2 linked regions of the Oreochromis niloticus genome follow. The protein of the gene in region 1 binds, or shares a complex with, the protein of each later gene. Links are inferred from orthologs where the notes say so. Each region holds a gene or a part of one and is shown in the gene's direction. Other genes may lie near its edges.

Region 1 (17,203 bases):
AACATGTGAAACAAACGCAAATGGACAATATAACATTGTATTTGCAGGCACTGAAAAAAAGATCATGTTGGTTTTACTTAATTCAATACTGGAAATTGGTTGTGCATAATTGTTTTGCTTTGGCAGAAACTTAAACAACTGAGTTAAATCAACACAACTTATTCATGTTCAATAAACCTTTGCATTTTCTGATGATAAAACGTGATTGAAACATGTTTAGATGAAATAAGGTGAGCTCTTGGAATATTTTAATCCTTCACAATTTTGTCATGTTATTCCAACATTATTCAATAGCTTTTACCCCAATACTACTTGGTCACATAAATACTACATATTACATAATGTTTAACAAAGTCTAGAGTCTGGTTAACATAAAAGTTGAATAGATTTACAGCGACTACCATCGTCCTATCTTTATCCAGGTTGCACGGGGGCTGGAGCATAACCCCGAAGTGATATGTTACGGGGCTGGGTACACCCTGGACAGCTCACCAGTCTATCACATACACTGAAAAAAAGGGATTGGCCAGCTCTTGGATTTATGTAAGGATCTTGCGTGTATTTAACACAATTGCCTCATGGTTTAAAGTTAAGTGTAACTATATAGTGTAGAAAATACATAATATGCAGAGCGGGTAGATTAAATTATTCATATCATGTTCGAGTGAAGTAAGTCAATGATATAGCAATGTTAAATCTCGCGACACTGCATGGGATTTCAGTCTTGCATGCTTTGGATCGTGGTTTGAGTCAAGTCGAACAGCCGCCTCTACTTTTTTTGGTATACCAAAAGAAGTAAATTGGGTAGTTGTTACATTAAAAAAGTCTAACTTGTAAATTGAACACTAAATTTTCATGTTTCTATCTTGAACGTAATTAAATCATGTAGGATCTGTACGAAATTCAACAACTTAATTTGTTCTTGTTGAGATGACATGATACAATCTAGTAGGAGTGGTTAATTGCTGGACTCATGAAATTAACAAGATCAGCTGAGATTTCAAACTGCAGGAAAATTTACTAGAGTTATAAGAGGCAGATCACTACACACACACAACGTGTATGCTATTGTTTTTTATTGTGGTTTAACCTGTCAAGGACAAAAACATACAGAAAATTCTGCATCAAGCCTTGAAATCATAGCTTTCCTACTTTTGTCAACCCTAGATTGGTGACATGGTGGTTAGCGCTGTTGCCTCACAGTAAGAAGATCCTGGGTTCAAATCCACAATATGGCTAGTTTACACTGGTTTCTCTCTGGGTATTCTGGTGTCCTCCCACAGTTAAAAGTCATGCAGTTATTAGAGTTAGCTTAGGTTGATTGGTGATTCTAAATTCACCGTGAATGCAAATGGTTGTTTGTCTCTATGTGATTGACTGGTGAGCTGTCCAGTTTGTACCCTACCTTGTAACCTAGGCCCCTGCAACCAGGATAAAGATAGGATGTTAGTTCTTGTAGATCCATTCAACTTTTATGTTAACCAGACTCTAGACTTTGTTGAACATTATGTAATATAAAGACAACATGTAGTATTTAAGTGATCAAGTAGTACTGTGGTAAAGGTTATTGAATAGTGTTGAAATAAAATGACAAAATTTTGAAGGATTAAAATATTCCAAGAGCTCAGTTTACTTAATCTAAACATGTTTCAATCACTTTTTATGAACACAAAATGCACAGGTTTATTGACTATGAATAAGTTGTGTTGATTTAACTCAGTTGTTTAAGTTTCTGCCAAAGCAAAACATTTGTGTGCAACCAATGTCCACTATTGAATCAAGTAAATCCAACATGGCCTTTTTTTCAGTGTAGAGACAAACAACCATTTGCATTCACATTCACGGGTACTTTAGAATCACCAATTAACTTAGCTCTAATAACTGCATGACTTTTAACTGTGGGAGGAAATCAGAATACCCAGAGAGAACCCACTGCAAACTAGCCAGATTGTGGATTTGAACCCAGGACCTTCTTGCTGAGAGGCGAGTTACAAGTTAGACTTTTTTAAATGTAACAACCACCCAATATCTTTTTATCGGTATACCGAAGAAAGTAGAGGCGGCTGTTTGACTTGACTGAGATGGATGCCTTCCTCAAACCACGATCCAAAGTGTGCGAGATGAAATCATGTGCGGTGTCGCGAGATTTAACATTGCTATATTATTGACTTACTTCACTCGAACATGATATGAACAATTTAATATACCCTCTCTGCATATCATGTAGTTTCTACACTATATAGTTACACTTAACTTTAAAGCATTAGGCAATTGTGTTGAATACACGCAAGATGCTTACATAAATCCAAGAGATGGCCAATCCCTTTGTTTCAGTGGGGCGCTGATGAATACAGGAACAGATGTAATATTTGGGACAATATTCCTGCAAAGTGTCGTTCGGATTCACCCTGCAATTAAGGAGGAAAAAGGGTGACATACATGTACAGACATACATCTATTATCATTATATTATAATTATAGTAAAATATTTTTATTATCATTCCACAGACTTTATGCAAAAGATGGCTGCAGCTACCATGGTGTCAGTCATGGGTTTCTGTCTCCCATTTTAAAACTTTTGGCCATTTCCATCTTGTTTTTTAAGATGTTTTTTAAGGTGTGAACCTGAAGTCAAGAAAAAACGAAAGTCACAAGGTTGACCCCTCCTTTACTGTCTGTTTTCCGCTTAAAAGCACAACAATTTACTAAATGAGTTTCATGATTTAGTAAATGTCACATGGAACAAAGAACTGAGACAAAAAAAGAAGAATAGTCATCAAAGTAATTATTGAAGTCATGAGTTATGTGAGAAGTAGGGTAATTTTCTCTTAATGTTTTTTTGCAATCATCACTTCCTAGAAGAAATGCAGCTTTAGCTTTTTAAACCCCCAGCCTCTGTCCATTCTTTATATACAGTCTGTGTGTGGTATTTAGTTGTCAGTTCATACTGAATGAGACTATAGGCTGTGTCATATATCGGCCATTAATCAGCAACAGTGGGGATTTATTGCACCCACAGCCATTATATGAGGTGGAGACATTAATGAGAAAAGCAGGCAAGGTAATATAAAATGGTAATGCATAACTAAGAGTAACACAACAGGAATAAAGGTCCTGCTGAAATGAGTTTAGTCAAAGCCCACTAAGATATACTGTATAAAATTACATTTATAATTCTAAGAACCATTCAAGAACAAAAGAGCTTAGAGTCAGTTTAGCAGAAATTGTAGTAAATCTAAAATTTACATCCACCCAGAAAAATCCAATACGGGTCTAAATTTTAATCTCTGCCATCTCTTCCCTAAGAGTACCCAGACGTTGAGACATGCTCATACATGCATAGAAAGTTGAATGTTGCGAAAGGGATTTGGCAGATATAATCAGAACCAACCAAACCTGCAAATCATGACAAAGGGGGGAATTTTTTTTTTAAAAAAACAACAGACGATGAGTTCTGCATTGATGTCATTTCTCAGTATTTACTGGAATCCTGATTATGGATCGTTTTTAATATCTCTGCAGGGAGATACGTTGTAATGTATTTTCACTCCATACTATTCGATAAATGTTGAGATAATAACAAAAATCAGAAACATTTAAGGTCATATAAATAAAAAAAGCGCTTAGATTCTGTATTTTCAATTAAAGAACAGGCTGCCGTGGATTATTGTATTGCACATTAGGGATTTTTGGTTAACTGAATTGGGATTCAGAGCCTGAGGTTGGCATTTTAACAAAAAATTGGATAACATGCTGCTTAGTTGTGATTATTATTTAACGCTGGACTTTATCTGATTAGCGGAGCACCAAAGGCAGAATATCTGATTCATTTTTTATTTCTTTACAGTTAGGATACTTTAGCAAGAGCTCAATTTCAATACTGAATGAGTATAGATCCTGGGTGTTATAAATTTTATGAGCGTGAGCTTCAGTCACATATTTGGTGAGCAACAACCAACATATAAACTCAAAAAACATGGCAAGAATAAAAAAGAGAACCTTAGAAATATTTTTGTTTAAACTGACTCGACTGATACTTTACACCCATTTTACAATACAGTGTGTGAGGTTTAACATTAGGTACTCGTTACCAAAACGTTTCATTAAACAAGGCCTTTAACTAGAGATTGAGACCAATATCTCATTTGGAAAGTGTTTGCTGAAACCAAATAGAGAGTGAGCAGTAGCGCCTAGATGTCTTTACAAACTGAGAAGCCTCCTGCTGGCAACAAGAAGCAATGAATGTTTAAAGCACTTAAATGCATCAGGACTAAAGAAACTACACATGATCACTGAGCAGTATTTTACATGTTTCACATGTGTTTGTATTGAAAGATGTGCCATTTCACAATTGCTCATATCAGCTTTTTAAGCAAAAAGAACATTTTTTCACTATTATAATTTGATGTTGTGCCTGGATTCTGCTGGTTTGGGGGTTACAACTTCTAATATTCCTGTTACTGCTATTGATTTTACCTTTGACATCTTTCATCCCCTGGTACTGCTCAGTTTTCTCGTGCTTCTTCTTTATGATGTGATAAATGCGGCAATCCCAGCTGATGGAAAATCAAAAGGAATTTCTCTGATGTGTGGCTGATTTGCTGTCAGCCAGGATTCCCACATCTATAACCACTGCAGTCTTCTGCTGCTTGTCAGCCACCACTGTGTTTGGTTGGTTGGCCAGGAGCTGCATGTCTGTCTGGAAGTTAAGGTCCCACAGCACCTTAGCCTCTTTGTTTTCAATCACCTTAGCTGTTGTCTCCCATCTGGAATTGGAGCCTTCTAATCCATATGTGGCACGGATGTTTCTGTATACTATCCCAGCTGCTTAGTTGTGCATCTCTGTGTACGCTGTCCCATCTTGCTTCTTGCATCCTGCTACTATGAGCTGGACTGTATCCAGGGCACATTTTTGTACTGCCTTCAACCTGAGTCCTGATGGCTATGGTAGATTCCTACCCCTGTGGATTTGGTGCTTAGGATCTTGTGCTTGCATGATCAAAACATCTTTCCTGTCCTTTTGGTCAGCCTTTTCGAGCATTTGGGAGTATTTCTCAATGTCAGCCACTTCCTCCGTCTGTCAATAGCACATTAAATGCAGGGTCTTGGTCTTGCACCACACTTCCTCCTTTTGTTTCTTATCACCATCTGTCTTCAGCTGCCTGAGGCACTCTTGTAGCACCTCATCTCAAAGGGGCCATCTCCCTAATGTATTCTCATAGCTCTGACACCCACTAGTCCCCCTTTTCCACTTTTTGTGGCTCAGAGCCATGAGGTGGAAACATCCATGCAAACATCTGCATTGTGAGGAACTTTCATGTTTTGACATCCATGGCATTGATTTCCTCCTTTGGCCTCTTGCTATTCCAGCTGGGTATCTGATGACCAGTGAGGCCTATGTATTGATTGCTTAAATCTTATTCATGCTGTTGATTTGACTTTTCAGCTCCCATTTCACTCTGTGGGAGTAACTGGCTATGGCTGACCTTTTGCAGCTTCATCATTGTTCCCATTAGACTTTGGAATACCAAGGTGCTTGTAGCTGTTTTTTTCAATAATCTGCCAATATATATATGTACACTCTCTCCAGTATACATATAAAGCATTTTTATATACAGTATATAAATAGAATAACAAATGATACAGATAGTTTGTTTCATATTGCACATATTGCAAGAATAAAAGACTGGTGATTTTTTAAACAGCTCAGTGTTGTCAGGTGTCTAAATGAAGACAAAAACCTAGCTGAGCTGATCGATACAAACAAAAGATTGATCTATTACTCTCAAACATGAAAATGAAAGCCGACTTTGACAGCAGCTCACTCCTACATGACACAAAATTAATGGATCAGACTCATGATTTCATAGCTGCTGCCTACTCATTACTGCAAATAATCTTCTTATATTTGAGTGCAAATATCATCATTTTGTCTACAGTCTTAGGTGAGCCCACTGAAGAGAAGCTTACCTCCATTGTGTTTGACATTGTTTTGCTGGAGGCTTGGTTCCTAAAATAATGAGTTCTGCTTCTATGTTCTGAGAGTAAATTGGGCTCAGAGAAAACAATCTACTTTCACTGATGACACCTGAAACATATAGCATTAATTTAATAGAAAAAGGCAGCTTTGAAAAAGTGCGTGGTATTCCCCTGTTATAGACCTTGACACCCACTCAAAGTGACATGAACCCCAGGAGTTATTTCTGAACTTTTATGTGGAATGCATAGCATACACGCTCAGAAATTTGGAAACAGTAAAAGTCTATTTCTGGTTTTATGGTTACAATCTTTTTGAATGCACCCCCTGGGGCTAATCTTGGGCTTCCAGATTTTAAGATGCAATATGAAAAAACTGCTTGTTTTTGGCTAAATGCAAAAGATTTTAGGCCAAATACATATTTTCGTTTAAGGTTTTATGGATTATTGACATTAAATGAAAAACAACTGTCATTCTCCATCTGTCTTATATATATGTATTTAAAGGAGCAGAGCACTGCCACCTCACATCAAGAAAGAACTGGGTCTGAAGATGTCTGCAGCCTTTGTTCTCTCTGTGCCTGCAACATTTTCTCCAGGTTTTCTCCTTCAAAGGTCCAAGGACATGTAGGTTAATTGCTGATTGTTAGCTGTGAGTGGAGAAAAAGACTACAAAAGTCAATTTCCAGGTTAACAAATGAATATTGTGAAATATATATATATATATATATATATATATATGTATATATATATATATATATATATATATATACATATATATATATATATATATATATATATATATATACATATATACATATATATATGTATAATTTGAATGAGCTGGGTTTTTTGTTTTTTGTTTTTTACATCACAGGGTACTCCTGCAGTGCCACACAGTTGTAGCAAGCAGCTGCTATTTTTTTTTCTGAGAGTTTATTATGGATCAGATGTTTTTCCTCTATATTATTCTTTGGGTATCAGCCATCACATCTCCATAATTGCATTAAAGTGGAAGATAAACATGAAAGGGTCTGCAAATTGGTGTGACACTGATACTTTGCCCATTTTGTCACAATAAACAAATTATGCACATTAGCAGCTATAATAAATTGACCTCACAGTAGGCCAACACACCTCTCAACATTTTGAGAAATGTAGATCACTTTAATGTGCGTATGCTAAATCCAAGGTCATGTCCAACAAGCAATTAGCCTAGCTTTATACAAAGCAGGGGCAAACATGCTGTTAAAATATACCAGGAGGTAAGTCTTAAAACAGTTTGGTATTTTCAGAAATACACTCATTTGCTTTTCTTAATGGCGCAGATTTCATAAGAGAAGACACCTCTGGAATCAGCAAGGCATTTTCACCCAGAGAACTACTGCTCATCGGCTATTTTCTCTTTTTTCTTTAAAACCCTTGAAATGGTTTTGAGGGAAAATCCTGAAAACCAACAGTTTCTGAAAAACTCAGACCAGCATGTGTGGCACCAACAACTACCCCACATTCAAGTCCCTTGAATCTGATGCTCAGTTTGAACCTCAACATCTCATCTTAAGCATGTTGTAGCAAAAGACCCGACACACACAGGATTGACAAACCCATTGCTTGGGAAATGTTTATTTTGCTTGTTCAGCCGTTTCTTTTGCATTACAACACATAGATAGAAGTGACTCAGGAAGCAGCTCCTTCTGCAGCTACTCCACTCACACTCGCTCTCCCACGCGTCTCCGATATGGGGGAGAGAGAGCGTGCGTCAACAGTCACCTGCACATACACCTCTGTCCTCTGTCACCTTGACGCCGCCCCGAGAGCTCACTGTACCACCCCTCCTCTGCTGCAGGCAAGAGACCACACCCCTGCCACACATGTCTATGTGCCTAAGTGCACTGAGTTGCTGCCATGTGATTGGCTCATTAGATAGTGTTGTTAACAAGCAGCTAAACAGGTGTAAGCTATAGTGAGCAGTCAGTTAGTCTAGCATTAAGACAGGAAACATGGTGTGGGGTGACAACTAGTCTACCACTTCTAATGATTATAGCTGAGCACTTGTATGTTTGTCCTTCCTCTTGTTCTTGAACATGTTCTTTTTGCTTTACTTTATGTTATCAAGAGTGAAGTCTTGAGAAAGGACACATAAGTGTCTGACCTTCAGGATAAGGAAGCATAGTTGTAATGACTCAGTTCATGGCTGCACTAAACAAAAAACTCTTTGATAAATCTCCACTTTGTGTCACATTAATGCAGTAAAAACGACTAATGAGGCATATGTAACACGAGTCTTCTCTGACATACAAGAGACAGTCACACAATGCAATAAACAAGGCAAATTTCAGCGTAAAGAAAAAAACCCTGCTGTGCCTTAATAATAAAATCACAGTCAGAAAAGTCAATACCTGGATGCTCTCTGGAAAAGCTAATGGACAATGACAATGACTGGGGTAGAAACATAAATATAAATCAATTTGCTACAAAAAAAATATAGATGACTCGTGTTGCTGAATAGACCGATGTCTCCTAAAAGGTTTTAGCAATAACATTGACTGCAACAACAATTTAAAATTAATTATTTCACGTGCCACCTTCAAAATAATGTCAATAACACATTCATAAAATTATTAGCAGTACCTCAATCAATGGCACTTTTGAGGTACATTGAGGGACCTAAAATAACTGGACACTAATGATTTTACACCACAGTGGATGGCTGAACTGAAATTGAAATTTTCACATCCACCGAGAATCTCAGCTGACACTGGCTAAGAAGCATATAAAATGGACAGGCTGCTGGTTCACATGGCTAACAGACAGACAGATAACCGTTTATATTCACACCCACTTAGAGCAAAATTTCAGTTAATCTTAGATATATTTAAACTGCAAGAAAAAAAACTGATCACTCTGACAGGGAAACAAAACAGGGACAGGGAGATGATGCAAGGAGCCAACCAGAACTCAGTAGTGGGTAGAGTCGTGTAACAATGTCCCCATGGGACAGTTTGCTTCACAGGCAGTAGTCCAATAGAATGTATACGTGCATACATGCACACATACATACATAAAGCACATTTTACAAAACGTAATCCTGGATTCAAATGTATTATGATGCCAACATAAACCATGAGGAAGAGGGTTTAATTTAAAAAAAAAAAAAAGACATATAGAAGATGCTGAGGCTTTTATAAGAACCTTATGTCATCAAGGGTACTGGAGCTTCCTGTAAGGCAGCCGTGTTAAGCACTGCTCCACCATGATACTCACATCTTTAATTCAAATGTACCATTTAATTCATTTTTAACTTCTCAGCAGGAGTTCGTGCAGTTGTGCTCTCACTGCCTTGCAGATTTAATCTGGCCTATTCATTTTGAATGGAATCATGATTTCCATACCGTCATCATAACAGCATATTTTGCTCAGAACTGCTGCCTAAACAAACCCAATGACAGTATGCAGCATATGCTCACAAAAACACCCCTGAGATGCTGAGATGATGTTCAGATTTATGATTTGTTCACACTAGAGCTGTTCACAGCTTGTGACAAAGAGAAATAAGACTAAATATGTACAAATAAGGAGTCTTAATGACATAACAACAGCAGTTTATATTGTTGTTGGTGGTGGTTTTTTAAATAAGAATTCAAAAACAATTCCCTGATAAATTGGTACACAGTCTGAGTCTTGTCTTACAATTCAGTCATTATCTTCACACAGTCACAACAATTTGCTCAAGCACTACAGGAGCCAGTTAAACCAGTTAGTTTAAAAGAAGTGCACCGTTGGATTAAGGGGGTTAACCGTGTCAGTGAATTGGTCTCAAGTCATCCGTCCACTGTGCCCTCCTTTATATGCTTGTAATTGAGTTTCGCACAGAATTAAAAGCAGATTACGCTACTGCATGTTAAATCACCCCATTCATTTCTAACATCTTGTTCATCCACCATGTCCCTCCCCGCATAAATGCCCGAACACCCCCTTTCTCTACATTTTTATGGGGGTGGGCATTCGGGTTGAAGCTCAGAGCTCGTTGCTCGCTACAATGTGCTGTGTTGGTGTTTGACCCTGCAGTGGCTTTGAATGGAGACAGAGGGGAGACCAGCGTCATTCTGACGAGTGGTCCGTGCGGAGCGCGTTTAGAATCGCGTTTGCAGTGTGCTCAAACAACCTGCGGTCACTGCAGACGCACCAGCAACAGCTGCAGTTCATCCGCCACACAAGACACCTGGAAGCATGTCTGGCATCACTGGGAACGTGGACTGCGAGGAGTGCTTATCTTCTGGACATTTACCCAACAGCACGGAGTTACATGTGCATCCCACCTTGGATGATGACGAGGAACTTCTGAGATACATTTGGAGAGAGTATTTACACCCCAAGCAGTATGAATGGGTTCTCATTGTGGCTTACATTATTGTATTCTTCGTTTCACTCATTGGGAACTCGCTTGGTGAGTCGTACCTTTAAATGCATTCATTTTTCTCTCCCTCCGTTCATCTTAACAACTTGCAAAAATCATAAAGCAAAAGTACACTTCGAACAACTTTTTTTCCCCACCTCTCCATAATATCAGCGCAAATATTACTAGAAGTATGAGAAAAATCTGAATGAAGAGCGATCAATAACTAAAGAAGCGCATTCCCCCCCCTCTGTGATGTTCACTAATCGCAGTCGCGCCTCTGCTGATGTGGAAGCATCAATGAGGAGGAGAGCCCGTCAATCAGTGCAGGAAAGTGAGGTTAATTTTGGAAAATCGGTAACCTTCCGATTTCTTTGAAGATACATCGAGCACAAATAAATCATTTCACACCGTGCATGTGCGTAACTTGCAAGTTTTGCAGACCTATTGCCTGCGAAATTCCATTATTGGACTGCTTTGTTGCTGGTGTATTTTCTCAATGGTTTAACAGCAGGGGCAGTTTTACTATTTAACAAAGAGAAGCCAGACTGACCTGTAGCTCTGTGTTTTTTATTGTGAAATTTCTTATCGGGCTGCTACCACATATTTGAGAACCTCCTTCTTTGTGTCAGTGTGGGAGTCTTAGTTATGCTCTACTGAAGCTCTATTGTCACAGTCACTAAAATAACCTGCTCTTTTGCGGCTTGCACTTTGATCTGTTTCAACTTTGAAAGCTGTCTTTGTGCAGGTTTGTGTTCTGTATCTCATCTCAGGGATCCCACTAGCTATTTTTAGACTTTTTTTGGTAACAAGGAAAAGGGCCCCTGACATAGATGCAGCTGTGCACTGCAGAATTGCACTCCAGCTTGGAAGGCTGAAGGTGTGCCACATTATCTGTCATTTTAGGCAGCTTGTACCAGTCTAATAATTTGTATGGTATTTCAGCGAGGAAGACAGCATTCACCCTCTTGCCATCTTCATTATCCTTAATGCAACACCCACTCCCCAGACAGTGGATGACATTTTGAAATGGGCCACTGTAAATGCTGTCCAAGAGAATTTTGTAGATGCTTTCAGAAAACAGCTTTCCACCCTTGCGCAGAGTCTACTTCCACTTTTATGTTTTCAGTCTCACAATAGAATGAACAGACCGACTGAAAATGATACATGAGTGGATAAGTTACGATTCCAGAAATCAGACAGGCCAGCTATTCACAATCTAATGTTCAACAGTTTCATATTAAACATGTTAAGTGAAATAAGCAGGGTTATCATTTGCTTTTTAAAGCTCAGATTACAAAAATATGTGCTTTATAGTACTGATTTACTAATAATACCTGGTTGCTGATGTAATCAATGTTTTAGTAAATACTTCATAAATGACACAGAAGTCATTTAAGAAACAAATTAGTCATTTTGTTTATGAGTAAAATTTGCATTTCTTTGCTGAACAGAGCAGTCGAGGACATTGGAGGGGTCCCTGTGTGTTTAATCAGTATGGCCATGAGTTTCAAAGCCAGAGATGACAGGTTCTCATTATAACTGTCAGTGTTAGATGAGTAAGCACAGCGCGAATCTTTTAAATCATCGCAGCTTCTCTTTCTTTGTTTCCTGCTCTGTGTGCTGTTTTCTCTTGATGCTTGCTGTAGTTTTACTTGCTATGAACAGCAGGAAGTGACAATAGAGGTGTCACCCCTGCCTGGAGAATTTCTTCCTTAGACAGAAGTGAAGAGTGAGATTTTATAAAATCAGCATTTATGGTTGCATTTTTTTCCCTATAAGGGAAAAGGAATCCAGTGGATTTTTTGCTAGAGCTGAAAGTATTTGTTCTCATAGTAAATGGCCTTGCTGCTGTAATGGATTCAGGCACACCTTGTACAGTAGATACTCAATTTAAAACTTTAGTCTTCCTTTTCGTAGAGGGTCTTTCAGTGTAATCCTCTTTAACATACCTTTCCTGCTGCTGTAAGTAGAAATTTTGATTCATCAAATCGCTGCCTGTATGAAAGGAGTGATTTGAAGATCTTATAACTTCACTGTTCACAGACGATGTTAGCGACCACCTGGCGAGCATAACATTAAGCAGCTAAAGCAGGGGTCTGCAACCTTTAACACCCAAAGAGCCACTTGGACCGTGTGTGAAAAGTGGTCAATAAAGAGATGCTGAAAAGCATGTTCATGCAAACATCGTCGGGTCTGCTGTGATATGTTTACAATGAGACTTCTGGTCCCAAACCTCGGCGCACAGCGTCTGCAAATCGGGGCTTTCATCTTTACGCAGGACTGTAAGCTGTCATCTGTGAGGCGGGAGCAGTGTTTGTTTTTAACATAGTTCACGGTGGAGAACATCTGCCGACATAATGTGGATCCGAAGATCCATAATTGGGCTATCTGGGGTTGAAAGTCTCGATAAATGCACGGCGTTTCCGCGAGTGTGACGCTTATTTTGAGCGATGAAAAAAATAATAAGATATAATTTTATTTTTATATTTCAAAATCACAATAATCTTCCAATTTAGAACTACAAGTTAAAAAAAAGAACTAAACACAAATAAAGTACACTTCAGCGAAATACTTCTTCTATTTTCCCAAACCACCCGGAGCCGCAAAATAAGGACTAAAGAGCCGCATGCGGCTCCGGAGCCGCGGGTTGCCGACCCCTGAGCTAAAGCATCAGATATTTCCCTCAGAGAGTTGGCAGACACTGAACATGGAGTAAAAAGTAATGAGAAACCACAAATAAATCTGCTCTGTATGTGACGGATGTGTAACTACAAGAAGCCTTTTGCTAAAATGTTTGCAACATTATTATTTTTTTAAACCTTGGACACAGTGTTTACACCTTGTGTTCAAGACGCTCAAGTTGCCCAAAAATTCAGTTGATAGGGATTTAACTAAGATTCTGCTACAGGAAGCCACCATCCTGTGCCATCCCAATTTTACGTCAAAGGCACTGCAACATTAACTAAAATTCCAACTGATAATGGGGGGGGGAGGGGATTCTTATTAGATCACTGGAAACATTAGGGCTAATTACCCTGCTCAACTTCTTGTTAACACAACAATCCAATGAGGCAATCATATGGCAGCAACTCAGTGCATTTAAGCATGTTGACACGGTCAAGAAGACCTACTGAAGTTCAAACCGAGCTTCAGAATGGGGAAGAAGGGTAATTTAAGTGGCTTTGAATGTGACACATGGTTGTTTTTGCCAGAAGGACTGGTTTGAATATTTCAGAAACTGCTGATCTACTGGGCAGAAAACCATCAGAGGTCAGAGGAAAATGAGCAGAATGCCTTGGGATGATAGAAAGGTAACATAAACTCAAATTCTTTAGAACCAAGGTATACTGAACTGGATCGCTAAACACATAAGATCTCAAACCTTGTATTCTGGTGCTGGGCTACAGCAGCTGAATACCACACTGGGCGCCACTCCTGTCAGCAAGGAACGGGAAACTGAGGCTGTGATTCACACAGGCTCACCTAGATTAGACAATAGAAGACTGGAAAAATGTTGCCTGCTCTGATGAGTCATAATTTCTGCTTCAGCATTCAGATGGTGAGAATTTAGCATGAGCAACATGAAACAACATGATCCTGTCTTGAATCACTGGATCAGGCTACTGGTGGTGTAATTGTGCGAGGGATATTATCGTGACACACTTTGGGCCCCTTAGTACCAAATGAGTATAGTTTAAACACCACAGCTTACCTGAGCATTGTTATGACCTCAGTATACCCATCTTTTAATGGCTGCTTCCAGCAGGATAAAGCACATTGCCACAAAGCTCAAATCCCACTCAAACTGGTTTCTTAAACATGACAGTGAGCTCACTGTACTCAAATGGCCTCCACAGTCACCCGAGCTCAGTCCAGCAGGGATAAGGTAGAAGGAGAGCTTCACATCATGGATGTGAGGCCAAAGAATTTCCAGTAACTTTAATGCTACCATGTCAATATGGATCAAAATCTCCAAGAAATGCTTCCAGCACCTTGTTGAATCTATGCCATGAAGAAATAAAACAGTTCTTTCCAACTCCAAAGCTACCAAGGTCTACCTAGCAAAGCGTCAAGTGAGTGTAGACTATGTGACTAGTGATACAGCCAATTAATCACACTTTAATCATCTCCAATTTATTTCATTGTAACAATTTTTTCATGTGAACCCCTCAGTCCTCCTCAGTCTGCCTTCAGTTGGTCTTAACTGGTCCATGCTTTTTCTTTAAATCCACAGATGACGAAGCTTTTGAACATTTAGTGCATAAACTTTGGAATGGCACTTCCTCACTCATTAGGTCAACCAAATCAATAGTCTGCTTTTAAATGTGTGCTGAAAACACATTTTTATAGATTAGATTTTCTTTTAAACACTACTTGTCTTCATTTTTCGGTGATGTGCCCTATAAAGGGCAGCGGGTATATTATTTGCCATCAGCCAGAAGCATATATCAGAAGCAGATGCAGGCTTTTTTTTGCCTTTAGTGATAAACTTAAACTTATTATGACTGCACTGAGAGGAGAAATCTTTGAAGTAGGCATGCACATCTGCTGCTGTGGCAGACACCCACAGGCAGCAGCAGGGGTGGCTGTGGGAGGTAGAGTGAATCGTCTACTAATCGGAAGGTCGGGGATTCAATCCCCGGATCCTGTAGTCTGCATGTTGAAGCATCCTTGGGCAAGATGCTGAAACCCAAGGTTCCCCTTATGCTGATCCACTGCAGTATGAGTGTGTGTGTAAATGTTAGACAAAGAATGAAAGTGCTGTATAAATAGCGCTGTGTGACTGGGTGAACGAGTGCACAGTAACAGTAGAAAAGCACCATTCAGTGTCCCAATCCATTGGCTATTTAGCATACCTTCTAAAATTACTAATTATTTCCTCAACTGCAATAGGTTCATCTCTGGACCTACAGTAGGTTCATTCTTTTTTCTCTGTGTGTGTGTGTGCCAACATCTCAGATCTGACTCACTTACTAAAGAGATAACCTCCTTTGGAAAATCAATCAGCATATTTTATACACTAACTTGAACCACACAATGCTGTGTACTTGTATAATAAATCATACTGTTATGTAAAAAGTAGAGCAGCAAATGTCCTGTGAAACAGTGCTATCTTCTGTGTGATGCTCTGATCAGTAAATGCTTGGTGAAAGTTCAAACAAGAATTTAAACATGCACGTTAAATTTTACAGGACTATTTGGCATTTATAAGTCTTTTTTGTTTAAGAATAATTGATCACAAGCTCTTCAAAAAAAGCAGTCCTGCATACTCTCCTAATCAAATCACAAGATTACAGGCCTTTTAATAGAAAATGGAGATAAAAAGTATTTTCAAGGTGATTTGAAACTGTTAATATAAAAATTATTTATTATCTTAAATCATCTAAAGGTCTTTTGTTCCTACACAACAGTTTAGGTTTGGCTATAACAACAGTAGAAACTGTTTGAACTAAACTTACCACACAGAGCCTGCAACAAGTCAACTCTATAATCGTACACAGTAAGAACAGGCTATCCAACTGAAACAAGGAAGTATTGTGTTTTTCTGATCAACTCTTGTCCAATATTTAATAGCTTTTAGCAGTACATTGTTTGTCAGTTCCACCTGAGTGATTCTGTCTTGCTAAAAAAGCCCCTCATTATCTTTGTGCAGCTTCTATGCACTTATTATCTACCTGTGAGTTTCTGCAAGTAGGTTACTGGGAGTTTTCAGGACAAACATTATCAGCTGGTTGGATTATGCTGATATTTATAAATCTATGGTATAATGTCCATTCAGTCCTTTTTATAGCTCCCAGGCATCACAGCATTATAGTGGTAGTTATGTTAATTTTGATTTAAAAAAAAACTTAATTGGGCTGTCAACTGGATCATTTGTTCTCATTCTAAATACTTATATAAAAAGAATCACAAAGAATTCACAGTTCAGGTTAATGTTTTTTAACCTCATCAAAGGGAAGCCTGCGAATCCTCAACACAACACTCAGTTCTTGTAACCTTGCTGTGTTGCAGCTAAACTAAATAATAGTTCTAGGATTTGTTTTTGATCTGTTGTTTGTAGTTTATTTATTTCTTACCTCACCTCGGCTCCAGTCTAGTTTGAATCCAGCAAATCCCAAACCAGGTGCCGGTCCTTTAGGACTCTTTTTATCGTCATGGTCCTGGGGGGATGTCAGGGGGAGTTTTGTCTGATGTTTGAAGGATGTTTTGATTGTAAGCAATTGTAAAGCAGGCCCACTCTCTTAATTAAATTAAATTTGTTTTCCCACTGTTTCCTTATTGTTGTCTTTTAAATGAGGGACTGAGCGCTGCTGTAAGTTAATTTTGTGCTCAGTATTTAATTTCCTGAAGTGGGAGGTGCTTCTGACTATGCAGACATGAGTTTTAGTGCCTCTCGAGTAATTTTATATTAGGTTGTTTTATTGAGCAGGCCATAGTAGGTATATTGACAGGGGCGCTATTGAAATGGGGAAAAGCCTGGTGCAAAGCTGTTTCCTCAGTTTTTAGTTTTTATTATCTTTAAGATGGAGATTCTAAATAAATTCTACATGTATTTTTCCACAACTTCAATTCATTTTCTTAGCTTTGTTTTTTTTTTATTTTGTCCAAATGCAGTAAATAGGGTACACCAACCCACTGCTCTGAAGAAAACGGGAATAAAAAAGAAGATGGCACCACTGAAAGAGCCTTTTATTTTTGCATCCACCACTCACTCAGCCATCGCTCACAAACCCCATAAACAGGTTTTTGTTTTGTAGAAATGCACTGATTGACTGGCCTGGGACCAGAATTGGCTGATTTTTTAGCATGGACTGGTGACAATAAACG
Region 2 (15,663 bases), on another chromosome or scaffold:
TGAAGAACTCTCCCTCCCTTTATCTTCCTTGGATTTAACCAGTTTTTCTCCCAGCTCATCAGCAGCTGGAATATCCCATGTTCTGCTTCATGGCATTGTGTTGGGCTTTCCAGTGTGTATGAATAGAGATAAATTAATGAAACACTGAGCTGACTGTCATGCATTCCCCACTCAGAGCATTTCCTATCTTTTTATTCATTATTTCTTTTCATCAGATCCTGTTTGAAGGTTCTGTTTGATTTTATTATTTACTTACCTTTCTGTCTCTCTGCCTGAAGCCACTGTATGTTTTTGAAGCAGAAGAGGTGCTGCAGTACTTGTTACAAAGGCAAAAACCCTCTCTGCTCTTTACTCTACTGAGGTGTGTGTGTGTGATATGTTTGCATTTGTTTGGCTACTCAGAAGAGATATATTATTCCCTAAGTCCTCCTTAGGACCCGACTCTCCCTGTCTCTCTCTCTCAACGTAAAATTCAATCTCTTCAGAGTGTGCTACAGGGCCACATTTTTATTAGCTCAAATTTCACATAGTTTAAGTGACACTAAGGAACAGCAACATCAAGACTGTTAGGGGAAGGGAAAGCTTCATAATGCCAAATTAAATGCTTCAAGAGCTGTATTGCCTCCTCTAGCTAATTTGCTAAATTCATGACTTACTCCGCTCCCTGCCATCCTAACTCCTCGTGTCCTGTGAACACAAACTTCCTTGGCTCCTCTCTGAGCCCATTAACTACAACAGATTACGAGATCAAATCAGTCCTAATCCCTGTTAGCAGAACTTTCAGGCTCTGAAACAGATATTCTGCATTGGTTGTACATCACCATCAAGTTTGGAAATTATAGCGCATCTGTGCTGGTTCAGCCTGGTATGCCCTGAAAACTGGTGATTGTGTCATTTTGTTTTTATTTTTAATTTTAATTTTTTTTTTATCTTGACTTCATAAAGTCAACATAGTCTCATTTTTCTTCTTACAAAATGAGAGGCCTCTATACCCCTTGCATGTTTCTGTGCTTCAAGGATGCACTCTGAAGATGATAACACAAACCGTTTGTCAAATGGGAACAATGTAGCTACATTACAAAACCAAGATGGCATCTCATACTTTCCCAGCACAAATTTGGGGTGTTTTGTTGAATATTAAAACAAAACAAAACAAAAAACCCTAACAAAACAGTGTTTCGATATTATACGGCTCTGGTACTTGCTGACAGTACAGTAAGTCTCCTACTCTCCACCAGTTCAACTAAAGAATGTTCCTGAAAAGAGGTTTGTTGCAGTACCTGCCACCTGGAAATGTTCAAAGACTAAAGAAGGAATGACTTGAGGTGACGGGCTTCTTGTGAATTGTAGTGTATTATGTTTCATCATTGTTTTTGCAGTAAATCGAAGCTGAAGAACCATAAGGTCACTTGTCAGGGACAGACTGACAAGCAGGCTGAGCCTTAGGTTTAGGAGGAGTTTGCTCTTAAAGCCCGGGGGATTAGTTACGGTCTGCCTGGGCTAAATGAAGCAGGAAGCACTGATAGATTAATTAGAGTTTAGCCTGCTTCATATGACCTCAGTTTAGACAGCCATAGCAACACAACACACTGCATGCTAAAATCCAACTGTAGTGCTCCAACTTGGTTGTGGGTACAAGAACAAACAATAAAATCTACTAAAAGATGGTTATATTACAGTATGTCATTGGATTTTATAATGTCTGTGAATTTATATGCATAACAGATCTGGACTAATATGCATTAATGCATTTATGGCAGAGTTTTGTACACTGCAAGACACTTTACCTAAAACTTCTCAGCGGGCATATTTTGTTTCATGGTGATTTTTGCAAAATTGCAAAATGTAGTTATTTTCCTTGGTCTGCATACATGAGGTTATTTACTCTTGTATGAAATTTCTTCTACTAAACATTGTAAAACAAATACTCCAATGTAGACTATGCCTAAAAGTGTTTTTTGCATTGTATTTTTTCCACTTTAATATGTTTTGCTTTTATTTACATGGCACGCCTGCCTGTGTGTTTGTCCAGGTTTGGACTTCCATGAGGACCTGCATCGCATTGGAGCAAAGGAGGGTCTGAAAGGACGTAAACTGCAGAAGGCTATGGAGAGCTACGCTTGGAACATCACTGTGCTGAAGGTTAGTGAACCCCTCCTACAACACAGCAACAAGCCTAATAATTAATCTAAACCCCCCATTTGTATAAAGTACAGCTATTAAAAGTGATTAATGTGCATTTGAGATTACTTTGGGGACTGTACCCAACTGGACAAGCAATCTGAGACCATGTTGCTGAGATTAAATAACATAATGTCTTAAGAAAGCTCACTGGGCTAATTGTATTTCCCTCTTCTCTAATCCCTAAACCTCTTAATTAATTACTGTTGAGTCCAAGTACCATTTTATTTATTTGGTCGTGTAACTATCTTGACAAGACACGATAGGATTGTTCGCGCTTGTTTATAGACACACATATGCTGCTCTGTTATTCCTCATAAGGAGACACTGGATCCCCTAGACATGCCTTGATGATGATGCATTCTTGTCTTTGCCTGCCCCTTGACACAGGAGATAAGGCTGCTCAATGCTCTCATCTCATTTCCTCTACGACTGCTGCCGGTAATAGCAACGCTAAAATAACGCCACATGCTAAGTACAGACAGAGTGGCTTGAGCATTAGGATAGATAGATGTCTTCTCCTTTTCATGCCAGTCTTGCCAGATGGAAAACAACAAAAAGGGGGTTGCATTGCTGTTAGGGTTAAAATGATGTCCTCCACCCATCTATGGTGCAATTTACGCCCTTGCTTCCTTTAGCTAGACCAGCTGTCCAGAATCTATCCCAGCACTAACCACATTCACACACCTTATTTTTCCGATCGCAGTCTCCCCCCCGTTTCGTCTGTTCTCCTGTGATGAGCCACCCTTTCAACAACAAGGTGGCACACACATAACTCCTTCTTGTCCTCTTCCCATTCTTCAGTTGTAATCTGCGTCTCATAGTGAACATTTGGTGAGAGCTTGGTGCTTGTTTGCCAAGGCTGGCAGCCGTACCCAGTTATTATTTCACCTGTCAGCCTCTCCAGATTCTCAGCAGGCCAGGAAGTACTCGCTAGTCGTTAGAGATGGAAGTGTGGGACGCTGAGAGGAAAGGCGAGGGAAGAGTCATGTCCTATCTGTTTGTCAGTGTTCGTCTCTAGCTCCATCTCCACCCTTACTTTGACAGTTTCGGTCAGTTCGGGGCTGTCACGGTGAATGAGGGTATTTGCCCATTTCTGCCACTTATTGTTCCAGTTAGTCAAGAAAGAAGAAAAATCAAAGAGACAGAAAGAGATCCTTTGAAGCAAATGTCAGCCACATTGCTGTCCTTTTTAGAAGAATAACAGGGATTGAAAAAAGATGTCTCCCAAATCGCTCATGTTTGTACTTTCTAGTGTTATAATCTGTTTTCTTGGGCAGTTACATATAATTAAATAACCTCCTCTTAAATTCACTCAGATTTTGGCCTCTTCAGTCTTTTCTGTGTGAAGCCAATGTAACTCTAACCCTTTTATATGTGATTAAATCAAATTCTCGCAGATGTCTTGTTGTTATGGTTAATCCTTAATATAAGAACTGACTCAATCTATATGTTCCAATGATGCTTATACTCTGCTGTCTCTTCTAACTTCCCATGGATGTCTATAAATGTAAAATAATACCTAGAGGCAGGTTATCGACTACTCAATTTCTCTCAAAGGAGTGGTCCGTTTCTGATAAACAAAAAGGACACTGGTTTAGAATTTAATGAGGATATAGTTGTGGGATTTAGTAGCTGTCCTTACATGAGCTTAGCCCCCTGCGGACAACGTTAGGCCAGCTGTAGGGGTGAATGCATTCAAAGACAAGTGTAGCCGTTATTTGACTCAGGCAGCACAGGATAAGCTTCTTGCTGCCTTATTTTATGCCTGGTGAGTCATGACTTACATAATTTCTTTTTTTTCCTCCTTCTTCTTCTTTTTTTATTCCAAACATATGACATGCTCATACTCCCGGTTTGCGTGCTGTATTGGTTGAGCTAAAATGCCACTTGCAGTGTATTAACATCACCAACGAGTAGATCGCAGGCCATCGTCTGCAGGGCATCACCTTTAGTCTTACCCCAGTATGTCATACCGCTGTACCTGCCTTGTGGCACTAAGAACTTTATCCCTTTCGCCGTTTATATTTTAGTCTGGTCCACAACAGGTCAGACTGTGTCTCTTCACAAGGAGGTTAGCCCAGCAAGCTGTCGCAGCAGGTCAGGCAGACCGAAGTTCAGTGCGAGGGAGGTAAAATATGCAGATTCGCAGATAAAAGGAAAATTGCTTTCAACTTTCTTGTGAGCAGATGTTGAAGTGGACATGCTGGAGGAATCTGGCGAGAGTAAACCCTGAGGGTCGAGAAATTAGATTGTTCAAGTGGAGGGAGTTTGTCTGAAGCGTGTGGTCTTTCTCCCTTTTTTTTCATCTCCTTTGGACAGTTCTAATAATATAAGCACCTCTTACACACAGAAATAACTGCCTGTGGAGAAAACTCCACCACATTTCCACATGGCAGAGACAGCTAGCTTAAGGAGGGAGGCAGCCATGGCAGTGGCCCAGATTGACTTGACAGTGCCGTAGCGCAGGATGCCTGCCCTGACCACTTCCTCCACATATGGCAGGGTTTCATCTCTGGGGTGTTCAAATAAAGAGCAGAAATGTAGTATAACATTGCCACCATATGCCAGCAGTACTTGCAAGCTGAGAGGAACAGTACAAAGGGCTGGCAAGAAACCAAAGGCCTTTGTTCATTGGCTTCATACTGCCCCCTTCTGCATCTTTTTGAGTAATACATTAACAATAAGCAATAATATAAGCACCTTTACTTTCTTCTCACTAAAAAGTCATGCAGATAGTGGTCGTTTAGAGATTAAAATCTGTTTTCTAAAAAACAAAGAAGAGGGATAAAAGGAAATTGCATTGATGGTGTTATTTAAAATAGAGTTAGTATAAGTAGCCTTTAGGGAATGCTGTTTGAATGCATTTAAATTTTATATAGTTCAGTGATATTAACAAATGTTTCTTTCTGCCTCTTCTTCTGTGTCTAATTCTTAGGGCCAGGCTGACCTGCTAAAGCACGCAAAGAGTGAGGCACTGGACACTCTGCGTCAGATCCACTGTGCAGCTCAGTCCTGTGGCCTCAGTAAAAATGGAGCAGCTTCCCCACAGCTTCAGCACCATCCTCACCACCAGCCGCAGCAGACACAGCAGCAGCCTCAGGCCAAGACCCACCCAACGCCTCCACTGCTGTGCCAACCCCAAAATCAGCTCCAGTCTCAGACCGCACCTCAGGCTTATCTGCACCCGCATCCCCAGCAATATCCCCAGCTGCATCCCCAGCTATCGGCTCCTCCTCTGGCCCCACCTGTTCCAAAACCACCTGCCTACCCTCAACCGCCACCGCTACCCCAGCACCAGTTTCAGTTCCAAAACCAGCAGCAGAGGGCAGCAGTACCTCTCGACACCATCCCCGAGAAAGAAAAAGAGACTGTCAGTGACAGTCCTGCGGGATCCTGCTGACCCGCTGCCTGTGCCCACAGAGAATCCGTCCCAAAGAGAGACAGTGAGACAGAGAAGCAGAAAGGTGTAGAAAGAAAGCAAGAGGTCAGTAAAGAAAGAGAGATGGAAGAAGTTGCTGAGAAATTAAAAGAGATGATGATGAGGAGGAAGCCTCGTCGTGTTAGAAGCGAGACGCAAGTTTGAGAGGTGATTTGAGTTGGCCAGAGATATGAAAGAGAAGAGAGATACTACACTTCAGCTAGAAGTGAAAAGCAGAAGGATAACGGCTGAAAACATCAGTGAGTTACATATCCCTGTCTCTCTCTGGGCACTGCTATTTTCAAGCCCCTCCACGATGTACTCTAGCTCTGTGGGTACAGGCTTTACCTCACTTTGGCATTTAATGCCACAAATTTGCCTTTTTTATTTTCAGAGACTCCTTGGCATGTCTTCAAGTGTTTATTTCTTCACATTCACACTTTCCCTCCCACAACTAAGACATACAGGAAACCCTCACTTATTTTGATGATGAAGAGGAGGCCATTTTAATTTAGTGGCACAAAGTAGAGCAGCTCTGCTAGTCTGTAGGGGTCACAAATGGCCATTTCAGCACAAAATAAGCAGCTATAGTGCTAAAATAGAAAAAAAAAATCACCCTGATGTATTATTGCTGGTGTCAGTCTTCATCAGGCCCCTCAGATCTCTAGTGTCATTTCTCTTAGGGTTTAAGTTCTCCGGCATTCTTGGACACTCCCCACACAATCTTTTTGTCTCCTTCCTAGGGGCTACGTATATGATGTTATGTGAGTTGATGTCCTGGTCCCTAGGATGGAGCACGTCCTTAAGTGGCGGAGTTCACCAGTCAGTCACAACTGGAATATTTGACCCCTCCCGTTAGAGGTCAAAGATCATCAGGAACATGATACTGCTGTCTATAAGAATAAAGTGACTATAGATGTAAAATGTATGCAAAGTGTATGAAGGGAACATATATTGCTATAATAATTCTCGGACATTCATGATTGATATTATTATAACTGTTGTTAGTTTTATTGATATTCTAAGTATTTTTTAACATTACTTCCACATACACAGTGATTTGACACCTGTTGTTCTGTGGTGCAGATCAAGCCAACCAGTGCATGTGCCATTGGAATGAAAGGTTTAGGGGTTAGCACCACAACACAACAGTCGAACAATAACCTGACGTGTTTCACTTCAAAGTGAGTGTGGATTCTGTAAGAGATCTCTTAAGTGGCCCATTAAAACTGGCTTCATTGTTTCTCCTGTCTCCTCTTGTTCATTACTATTTAATAATCATTCAAGTAGCTATATGTACAAATGAACTGGGATAAATGGATGTAAATGGATGCTCTTTGCAATTTTATTTAGATTTTTAAACTGATATTTTTTTTTAAAAAAAAGGTTTTTACTGTGCAGGGTTCACACACGGTGCCACTGCTTTTATTTTTTTTAAAGAGACCTAGCCATTTAAAAGCAACAATCAATATAGCTTTACAAAAGTGCACTGTAATGCATAGTCAATTCTCAATCGATCTTAAATGATTCCCTTATTACTAAAATAGATTTAAGCCATTTAGTTTATCATGAATGAGATAGCACTGCTTCCTGTTGTCCATAAGATGGCAACAAACATTAAGTAAATGGTTGTGGGGATAAAAACAATCAAGCGTTCAATATTTGCTTTTAAGAGTTGTTATCTTGTTATTTTTACTGCAAATTTGTCCCTGATTTGTAAAGCAGATCATTTGTGCACAGATGTGCCTGACATGCCTGACACCCTACCGGAAGTCTTTTTCTAGGTCTTTACTTGTGAAGTGCTTTCACTATGAGAGAGAAAAGTCCATGCATCCTCATTAGCATAGCCTTTGAATGAACTTGTCATTAGAGCAGAGAAAGGGCATCCGTTTTTTAAATATATATATATTTGCTAATTGACTTCAGCCCCTCACCAGTCATTGTAATGGTATGTCTTAATAAACCTTTAGCATGCAGCCACAAAAACATACCTGCAGTGCATCAAAGGTCCACTCAGGCGTCTTGGAGATGACCTGGGATAGGCCACTAATTAATGGCAGCGAGCTTTACAGCAAACTTCAAATGAGCAAAGACTAGAAAAAAAGAGAATCAGTGGTTTTGTGCTACGTTTGTCACTGGTCTAAATGACGTCCAGAGGACTGATGGGATGGACGGCACAGGGCAATATAAAAGACACTCATTCGACCCCTGGGACCAGATGACTTCCCTTCAGACAACAGAGCAGATGTTGTGGTTCCCCACTAAGTTCCAAGAAGCTGCTGGGATGGAAATGAATAACAGGGTAAGAAGACAGCTTCATTTTTTTGTTTGTTTGTTTAAAATTTTCATGGTTTTACTTTGCTGATTTTTTTGTTTGTTCTTTTTAATTGCTTTTTCTACATTAGCATCCCTTTGTGCTCTAAAGGTATAAGCAGCCTACTGAAAAACAATTTGGGATATTTGGTATCAGTTATTCAATTCTCAAGTGTAGTGGAGGAATAAATTTAATTTAATGCATTTTACTGTAAATATTTAACACTGACCATTTCCTACTGAATGTGGTTTTATCATGTCACTAAGCTCCAATGATAAATATATATGTACATTTATTATACAGCATCTTCTCTTCTGTAACCCAGGAGTGAGGGGATTAAAATAAATAGAAGAATAGAAATAATTTACCTATGATATACGATAAATAACAAATTATGCCTGGCTATATACATATATGTTCAGGCTTATAAGCTTTATCATTAAATGGGGGCTGTTTGTATTGTATTGTACGTAATGCAATGTTGGTTAAAATTTAAGCTTACCAACATGTTGCATGGGCATGTTGATACTGACTGACTAGTGCTTTGGGTTTATTATCATTGTTTATAATAGATTTAGATGGATAGTATTATTTTATTATAAATTCAGTGATTTATATTTATTATGCATTGGAATTTGTCCATTCAACTTCATATTAATTCACATTTACATGTACTTCATGCACTCTGTATTTTTTGTTATTTATAATCATACCTCTTTAATCCTAAAAATCATATTTTTAATCTAATTTCTTTTAATGACCAGAAAGCCATGGTATTGGTCTTGCTGCTGCTACTGTCTCAGCTGGCCTGTGACGCTCACAGCGTGTCTGAGTGCTGCAGAGAACCGTCTCGTCCCTGCCGCCTTTATGTGTTGCTGTGTCGCTCAGGCAACAAGGGACCGGGTGGAGTCCTCACAGATGATGCGGCCGCTGGGATCCTCACTCTGGGCAAACGAAAAGAGGACGAGTATCGCTTTCAGAGCCGACTCCAACAGCTCCTACAAGGCTCCAGGAACCAAGCAGCAGGGATTCTGACAATGGGGAAGAGAACCAGAGAGAGAGCTGGGGAGCAGTACATGGACTGGATGGCTCAATCTGGAACGACCATTATGACACCCCTGCCTGTTTGAAACTAATCGAGTAAAACCAGGGACGCTGTTTAAATGAAAAAAGTCACACTTTACACCAAATGTATATTTTTTTGCTCAGAAATAATGTGAATTTGAATGTGATGTCCAAATTTTAGGAAAAATGTTCTATATTGTACATAAAAGGGTCTGTGATCTAATAAAAAAGAATCAAAGCTGATCAACTGTTAACTTTCATGACTATATACAAACGTGACAAATACTCAATTTTATATTCTGGAATAAGTTAAGCATTTGATAGACATCACATACAGTAATGATCATTTCTTGGTTGATGGGATGAATACGAGATAAAAAGCACACTGTGGAAGACACCCAGAGATTAAAAATAGATAATAAGATTTATCCACTAGAAAATCACAGATGAATGCCTGAATCCAGCCAAAATATAAAAACAACCTTTGTGTTAGTCTATAAGCACAATCCATCAGCCACACCCAAGGTAAATGGTAAACAGCCACCATGCATGTAGGGTGCTTCAAGGTGTCTTAAATTTAATTTTGCTTCATCTAAGTGTAGTATGGTGAAAAGATATGATCCCTGTAGCTATAGGGAGAATAAAACATAAAGCATAAACTATTTGTTTTAACTGCTTCCTTACCAGGTATTCAAGGCATAGTCTGCTAATTTGAAATATTGGAACAGACACATGCCTCCCTGTAATGCTCACAATCATTGCCAGGCACCTGACTTAAACTCAGTCCGGCTGGTGGCTTTTTAAAGAATTTTTTACATCTGCCAAACTGACACAGATGCATATAAATCTCAAATCTGTCCAACAGAAAGTACCTCTGATTAAAACGAACAAAAACATAACTGTTTGTGATTAAAAATAGAAATTTTCATGGGTATGAATTTATATGCGGAACTAATATAGTGGATTTGTGTGCACAACAGCTTTATGCAACCATATGGAGTCGAGAGGAAATGCTAATAAGTGACGATGAAACATAAAGAACCAGTGAAATCTGTTATTTCGAGGTCAGTTTATGTGTATAGGTTTTTACTGCATCTTCTACAGCAACTATCTGCGTGGGTGTTTGTTGATGCATGGGGACTAAATAAAAAGTGAAATAGAGGTGGTGATACAGACAGCAGCCTGTTAGATTCTTCAAGCACATCAACAAAAAGCCTAGCAGCAAATTGACTGTTATTACACTGAGCCAAAACGTGAATCGCTTGATGCTGTGCTTTATTCAACTTGACCTAGCCTCATGTGTCAAAAGAAGGGCTGATAAAAACACAAAATCTTTCCAGAGATGCCAAAGAAGATATTCAGTTGCTTTCTTCCACAGCAAACAAAACGTGCACACACCTCCCTTTCTGTGTTATTAACGCGGGATCCAGCTGTACCTCAGAAAAATGATTGGTAATTTAAGTGAGAAGTCTAAGCAACAGAAAACCCTCTTCTGCCTCCCATTGTGGAGTTTCACAAAAGATAGAGGTGAGAGTGTGAGAAAGCAAGAGATGGAAGAAAAAGGAAAGTTATTTCTAATAACTTCTCTGGGGAGAAGGCAAGGTTTTATGTGAGAAAGAAAGTGAAGGCAAGAGATATTTCATAAATTCAGTGGCTAGAACGGGGGATGGTTCAAGCTTTTGTATGAGAGAGAGGGAGCGAGAGAGACGGGGAGGGAGGGAGCGAGAGAGACTGGGGACTCAATGGCAAGATTCATGGAGAGTGGAGTTACACTGACTGAAGAGCAGCTGAGACTTTGCTGTGATACTGGAGCAGTGCTGAGCACAGAGCGATGCACAACTGAACCTGAATACTTCTGACTCAGGCTGAGAAAAGCTTTAGAGCTTTAGCACGGCAAACCTCTGAATTTTCCTTCAAAGAAGAAATGGAAAGCTCTGTGATACATTTCAGTAGTTTTATCCACTCAACATAGAATATATAAAACTTCCACTCCACTGAAGAGTTACAAGCAAACTCAAGAAGCAGTGTTGAAAGTCTAATTCGGGTCTTCTGTAGGGAATGGTGACAAACTACTTGAAACTGGGACTCTGCAACCTTTTTTCTGGTGAAAGATGCCTGTAATGAAGGGCCTCCTTGCTCCACAAAATACCTTCTTGGACACCATTGCCAACCACTTTGATGGAACTCGTAAGTATTTTGGGGAGAGGGGATCACTTTGAATTAATACAGGTTTTTTAAAAGAATGCTGATAATGACATTTCTGATGAATATCCATGAATAGTACATCGATTAACCTGCAGACCAAGTATTTGGAATCTGCGACTGATATTGTTGGACAAGTCAAACTGCTAGTGCCCGCAGATTTTGATCAGTATGTGTTCTTCTTAAAATGTGGATTACTTATATTGAAAGAAATGGCACATAATACATTTATATATGAAACATGTTGCCTGCAAACGGTTTGGTATCAATTTTAAAGATGAAGCTTTCCCAGCTTGCGTTTAGGATTTTTGCCTTTGGCATTTCTGTAACCCAATTTAGGACTGTGACAGGCACTGATAAACACTGCTGTCAATCAATATGTCCAACAGTAGTGAGATCCCATTAAATATGTTGGAGCTGAAGAGCCACTTGTTGAGATGCCGTGTTACTTGTTAGAATATTTCCCTGTTGAGAATAATGTCAAGGTCTTTCTCAACAGCAAACAACAAAAAACAGTCAAATCAAATTATTCATGAGCAACATTAAAGTTGTAGAGCTAAAGTCTGGCATCTTTCTTTCAGTTTGAAATCTACCGAAAAAGAAGAAGAAAAAATATATATGAGCTTTTTAAAAAGTTACTGAAAAATCTACTGTTTATTCTAAGACCGACTCAGCACTGTGTTGCTAATTAAATAACTATGTGCAGCAGTTACAGAATGATGCTAATAACTGTGAAAACACTATTGGATTTAAACACTAGACTTTGCTGAATAATTAATCTGATTAAAGACCAGCTCTAATAAAACATATTACTTTTTAGCATTTAATTACAGCCATGAAAGTTTCAAATTAAAATGTAGCTTATGCATCAAGCACTTGAAATGATTTGATTTTTGCTCATTATGCGAAACTAATGCAATGTAAAGCTAATATTTACATGTGCTTGGATTAGTAAGAAAGCACAATTATTTTTCCAGTCTTGTGTAATCTAGCATCAGATGAAGAGGCAGATTAACCGTATCACTCCACACAATTTATAGCACATAGAATATTGTACTTTTTTTCTTCTTGTTCCTGGGTGATAAGTGGCTTTTCTTCCTGCTTGTTATGCTTTAGAAGCAAAGAAATTAAACAATATTTTCAAACTATAACACTTAATACACAGAAACAAAAATCTTATTACCTAGGCATATGGAGCAGATCCACCTGGTTACACCCACACAAACACATATGAACCATACCAGGCATGGAAAGTTACATCTTACATCAAGTATCCAAGCATGTCAGTTTTACTCTACATCAGATTTAGTGCAAAAAAAAAAAAAAGAAATACATCAACAAAATATATATATATTTTCAGAAAACAAGAAAAGTGGTGCACAGGTCAGACGTTACGTTTCTCTCGCCATTGAAAATTCTCCATCTGTTCTCTGAGGTTTTTTGCCCTCACCTTCACATCCGCAGAAAGCAGATATAGAATTGCATTTACACAGATCTGGGCAGCAAACAGTGCCTCTGTATGAGAGTCGTGCGTCGGTGGACTGATCAAGTCACTGAGTAGGATGTAAAAGGATCAACTGACAAGAGATGGCTTCAGCATAATGCCGCAGGAATCCAGGAATAGTCGAAAAATATGTGTTAATTGATTTGAAAGTGTTTCTATGAAAAACTGCTTTTGGATCACATACTGTGAGGGTGACTGAATATAGGCAGTATGATCCTGACATGAGAGGAGAGAGATTAATTTAGATGAATTACAGCATATGCAAGAGACAAAGAGCCAATCAAATATAATTTGAGGTGTGGTTCAGTCAACCTGTGAAAGCAGGAAAACTCTACTTTTTCACCTAGTCACTCACAAATTATACAGGGTACCTATGTTAATGGCCAATTTTAAAGCTTTCAGGATAATAGTCATTAGATATATGTGCATTGTAACCTGTAGAAACAAAAGGACTCTACCAAATATGTTTGTTTTTGTGCTGAAATTGCAGTTTCCTCCTCCCCACATGCTGATGTGGATAGTTAGGAATAATAAATGCATCTGAATCAACAAATGCTTGCATTTTAACAATGTTTTTGCAGTGATTCACATCATTTTGAGGTTTGATGACTGTCAGTGTTAACCATTGACCCACCTGCTATTCAAACCGTTTGTTTGTGAGGGGTGGCTAGTCAAAAGAAAGTCAGAGTAGCTTAAGACACTCAAAAAACGCCTTGTTACATAAAGTGGTTAAACTGTGGGCTTGCACCAGTATAAGATAAATTAAGGTTATCTGAACTGTAAATCATGCACAGCTAGTCCAATAATGCCCCAAAATACAAATGTGGTGCAGGAAATTATCGTAGCAGGTCCCCTTTGAGCAAGTGGGCTTAGTCAAATCTATTAAATGTGTTTTGTAGAAATCAGAGTGAGGGTACTGTTGCAACATTACCATTTTTTTCCTGCACAAATTGCCATGGCAACATAGGCGCAGGAAGATCTTAATTTAGCTTCTTATGGGATTAAGTGCACACACTTCAGGTAAAAAAAATAAAATAAAAAAAACTTCACTAATTGCACATGTGTTCTTCTGGAGGCAACACTTTGTTAGCACCCTTTAGTGATGCTGGCAATTATTTTGTGGTTGAAAAATCATTTCAAATACAATACCGTATGACAGCATGCATCTGAATAATCTGCTATTATCAGTCTCTGTTTACTTTCCAAGCTTTAGAGAGAACACAAAGCTTCAGCCTCATTATATCTGGCCGCAGTACAGGTGCTTGGTGTTGTCCTTGCAGCTATATCATCATTGGAGTGCTTTGCTACATAAGCAAACAAAGAACTTTTGGGGAATTAAATTTCCTCGCATCAAAGTGTGTTTGAATGAACAAATAAAAGATGACATGTCAGTGTACTCAGTCTAGTTGTCTAAATATTGATGGGTTGGACAACTGAAAGCACACTTCCATTAGTCATTGAATGATGAAGACATCTGGTTGTTGCGTCCCTTTACAATAGAGTCTAAGCTGCATGACCCCAAACCATTTATTTCTATATTTCAGTTTGTAACTTAAGGAACTTGGCAAGTTGGGTAAGCTATTCTATTTTCCACCATTTTAACAGGTGATACAGAAAAAAACAGCTATTCTTACACTGTTATTTAATTATTAATTATTTGGCAACAATGATAAGAGCTATTGTTGGTGGAGTAAAGATGTAATGTACAGTCTGTCAAGCAGAGTGGTGGCAGCATCTTACTGTGGGGCTGTTTTCCATTCACATTGTCAATGGACTGATTCTTATATAGTACTTTTCTGCGCTCCCAGAGCACTCAAAGCACTTTATACAGCATCCCTCATTCACAAAAACTTTAACCTAAACTTCATTCATAATTGTGCCAGCTTCATGCCAGGAAATCAATCAGTTTAAGTGAACTCAATTCTGCACAGTTTGGTCGAGATTTAATTGTACATTTTGGTTAACAAGATAAAACATTTTAGGAAATATTCATCAGTGCAATGATTGAAAATGTTTCAGAACCAGAGCCTCACTGAGGTCGTAGGACCAGCTGGCATCCGGCATATATTCTTGGACTTAATGCTCACCAGCAGCAAACTTCAAAGCTCTCTTTGATGTACACTAGATAACTGCCAACTTCAGGGTTCTGAGCTCAAACTACAAAGAATGATGCAGATAGGAGAAGTTACTTTTTGTGCTTTAAGAGAATTTGTATTAAAAAAATTATATTAAAAATATAATAATTGGCACATTTAAATGTTTTCTTTCAGAACTGCAGCTATGCAATTTGGTTACATCTATGCACTTACTCATTTAAAATTTCCTACTGTTCGGTTTGCCATTTCTGTTTCTCCAGCCACAGTAACTTTACCTGACCTTCGATCTTTTCATTTTCCTCACAGACTGTAACTTCCTCCTGGGAAATACTCAGGGGAGCTGTGGATACCCCATTGTCTACTGCTCCGATGGCTTTTGTGAGTTAACCGGCTTTGTTCGAACAGAGGTGATGCAGAAAACCTGCACGTGTCGTTTCCTTCACGGGGCTGAGACCAGTGAAAATGTGATTCAGCAGGTAGACAAAGCCCTGGAAGGCCAGCAGGAGTACCAAGGAGAAGTCTGTTTTTACAGGAAAAATGGTGAGAATCACAGTCACTCAGGGGCACAAACGAGAATGACTTGAGCTTGGCAACAAGAAAAAAATATTGTTATTTCATCAGTATTAGAGCTCTAATCATCATTTTGGTGAATTAATTGTCTGACAGGGTAATGTTTCTGTAATAACATTTTTAATACTCCCAGGAAATCCATTTCGGTGCCTCCTGGATATTGTACCAATTAAAAATGAGAAAGGTGAGGTTGTGCTGTTCCTGTTATCCTTCAAAGATGTCAGCGAATCACATGGAAAAAAACATCGCTGTACTCAAAGAGACGGTGAGGCCTGGCTGCTTGCGTTTCTTTAGTTTTTATGAAAAGCAC

The links.
Region 2: the proteins of hcrtr2 (region 1) and hcrt are in contact, whole or in part, in a cryo-EM structure (PDB 7L1U), measured with the Homo sapiens proteins. The link is inferred for Oreochromis niloticus from reciprocal best matches to the Homo sapiens genes HCRTR2 and HCRT. Residues at the interface, in NP_001371201.1 of Homo sapiens: Thr111, Val114, Trp120, Pro131, Gln134, Thr135, Val138, Gln187, Val209, Cys210, Asp211, Phe227, Thr231, Ile320, Ser321, Asn324, Lys327, Arg328, Phe333, Ala334, Thr336, Arg339, Val342, Tyr343, Phe346, His350, Tyr354; in NP_001515.1 of Homo sapiens: Asn89, His90, Ala91, Ala92, Gly93, Ile94, Leu95, Thr96, Met97.

The regions. Positions count from the first base shown.
Region 1 is NC_031978.2:19,745,971-19,763,173, forward strand, and holds the start of hcrtr2 (orexin receptor type 2), read left to right. Parts: upstream 1-9,996; 5' UTR 9,997-10,206; coding exon 10,207-10,423; intron 10,424-17,203. UniProt on the Homo sapiens protein: Nonselective, high-affinity receptor for both orexin-A and orexin-B neuropeptides. Triggers an increase in cytoplasmic Ca(2+) levels in response to orexin-A binding.
Region 2 is NC_031969.2:26,556,776-26,572,438, forward strand, and holds hcrt (hypocretin neuropeptide precursor precursor), read left to right. Parts: upstream 1-7,818; 5' UTR 7,819-7,847; coding exon 7,848-7,904; intron 7,905-8,680; coding exon 8,681-9,046; 3' UTR 9,047-9,224; downstream 9,225-15,663. Other genes in the region: plcl5 (inactive phospholipase C-like protein 2), read left to right, coding at 2,033-2,142, 5,120-5,584; kcnh4a (potassium voltage-gated channel subfamily H member 4a), read left to right, coding at 11,093-11,168, 15,090-15,323, 15,487-15,618. UniProt on the Homo sapiens protein: Neuropeptides that play a significant role in the regulation of food intake and sleep-wakefulness, possibly by coordinating the complex behavioral and physiologic responses of these complementary homeostatic functions.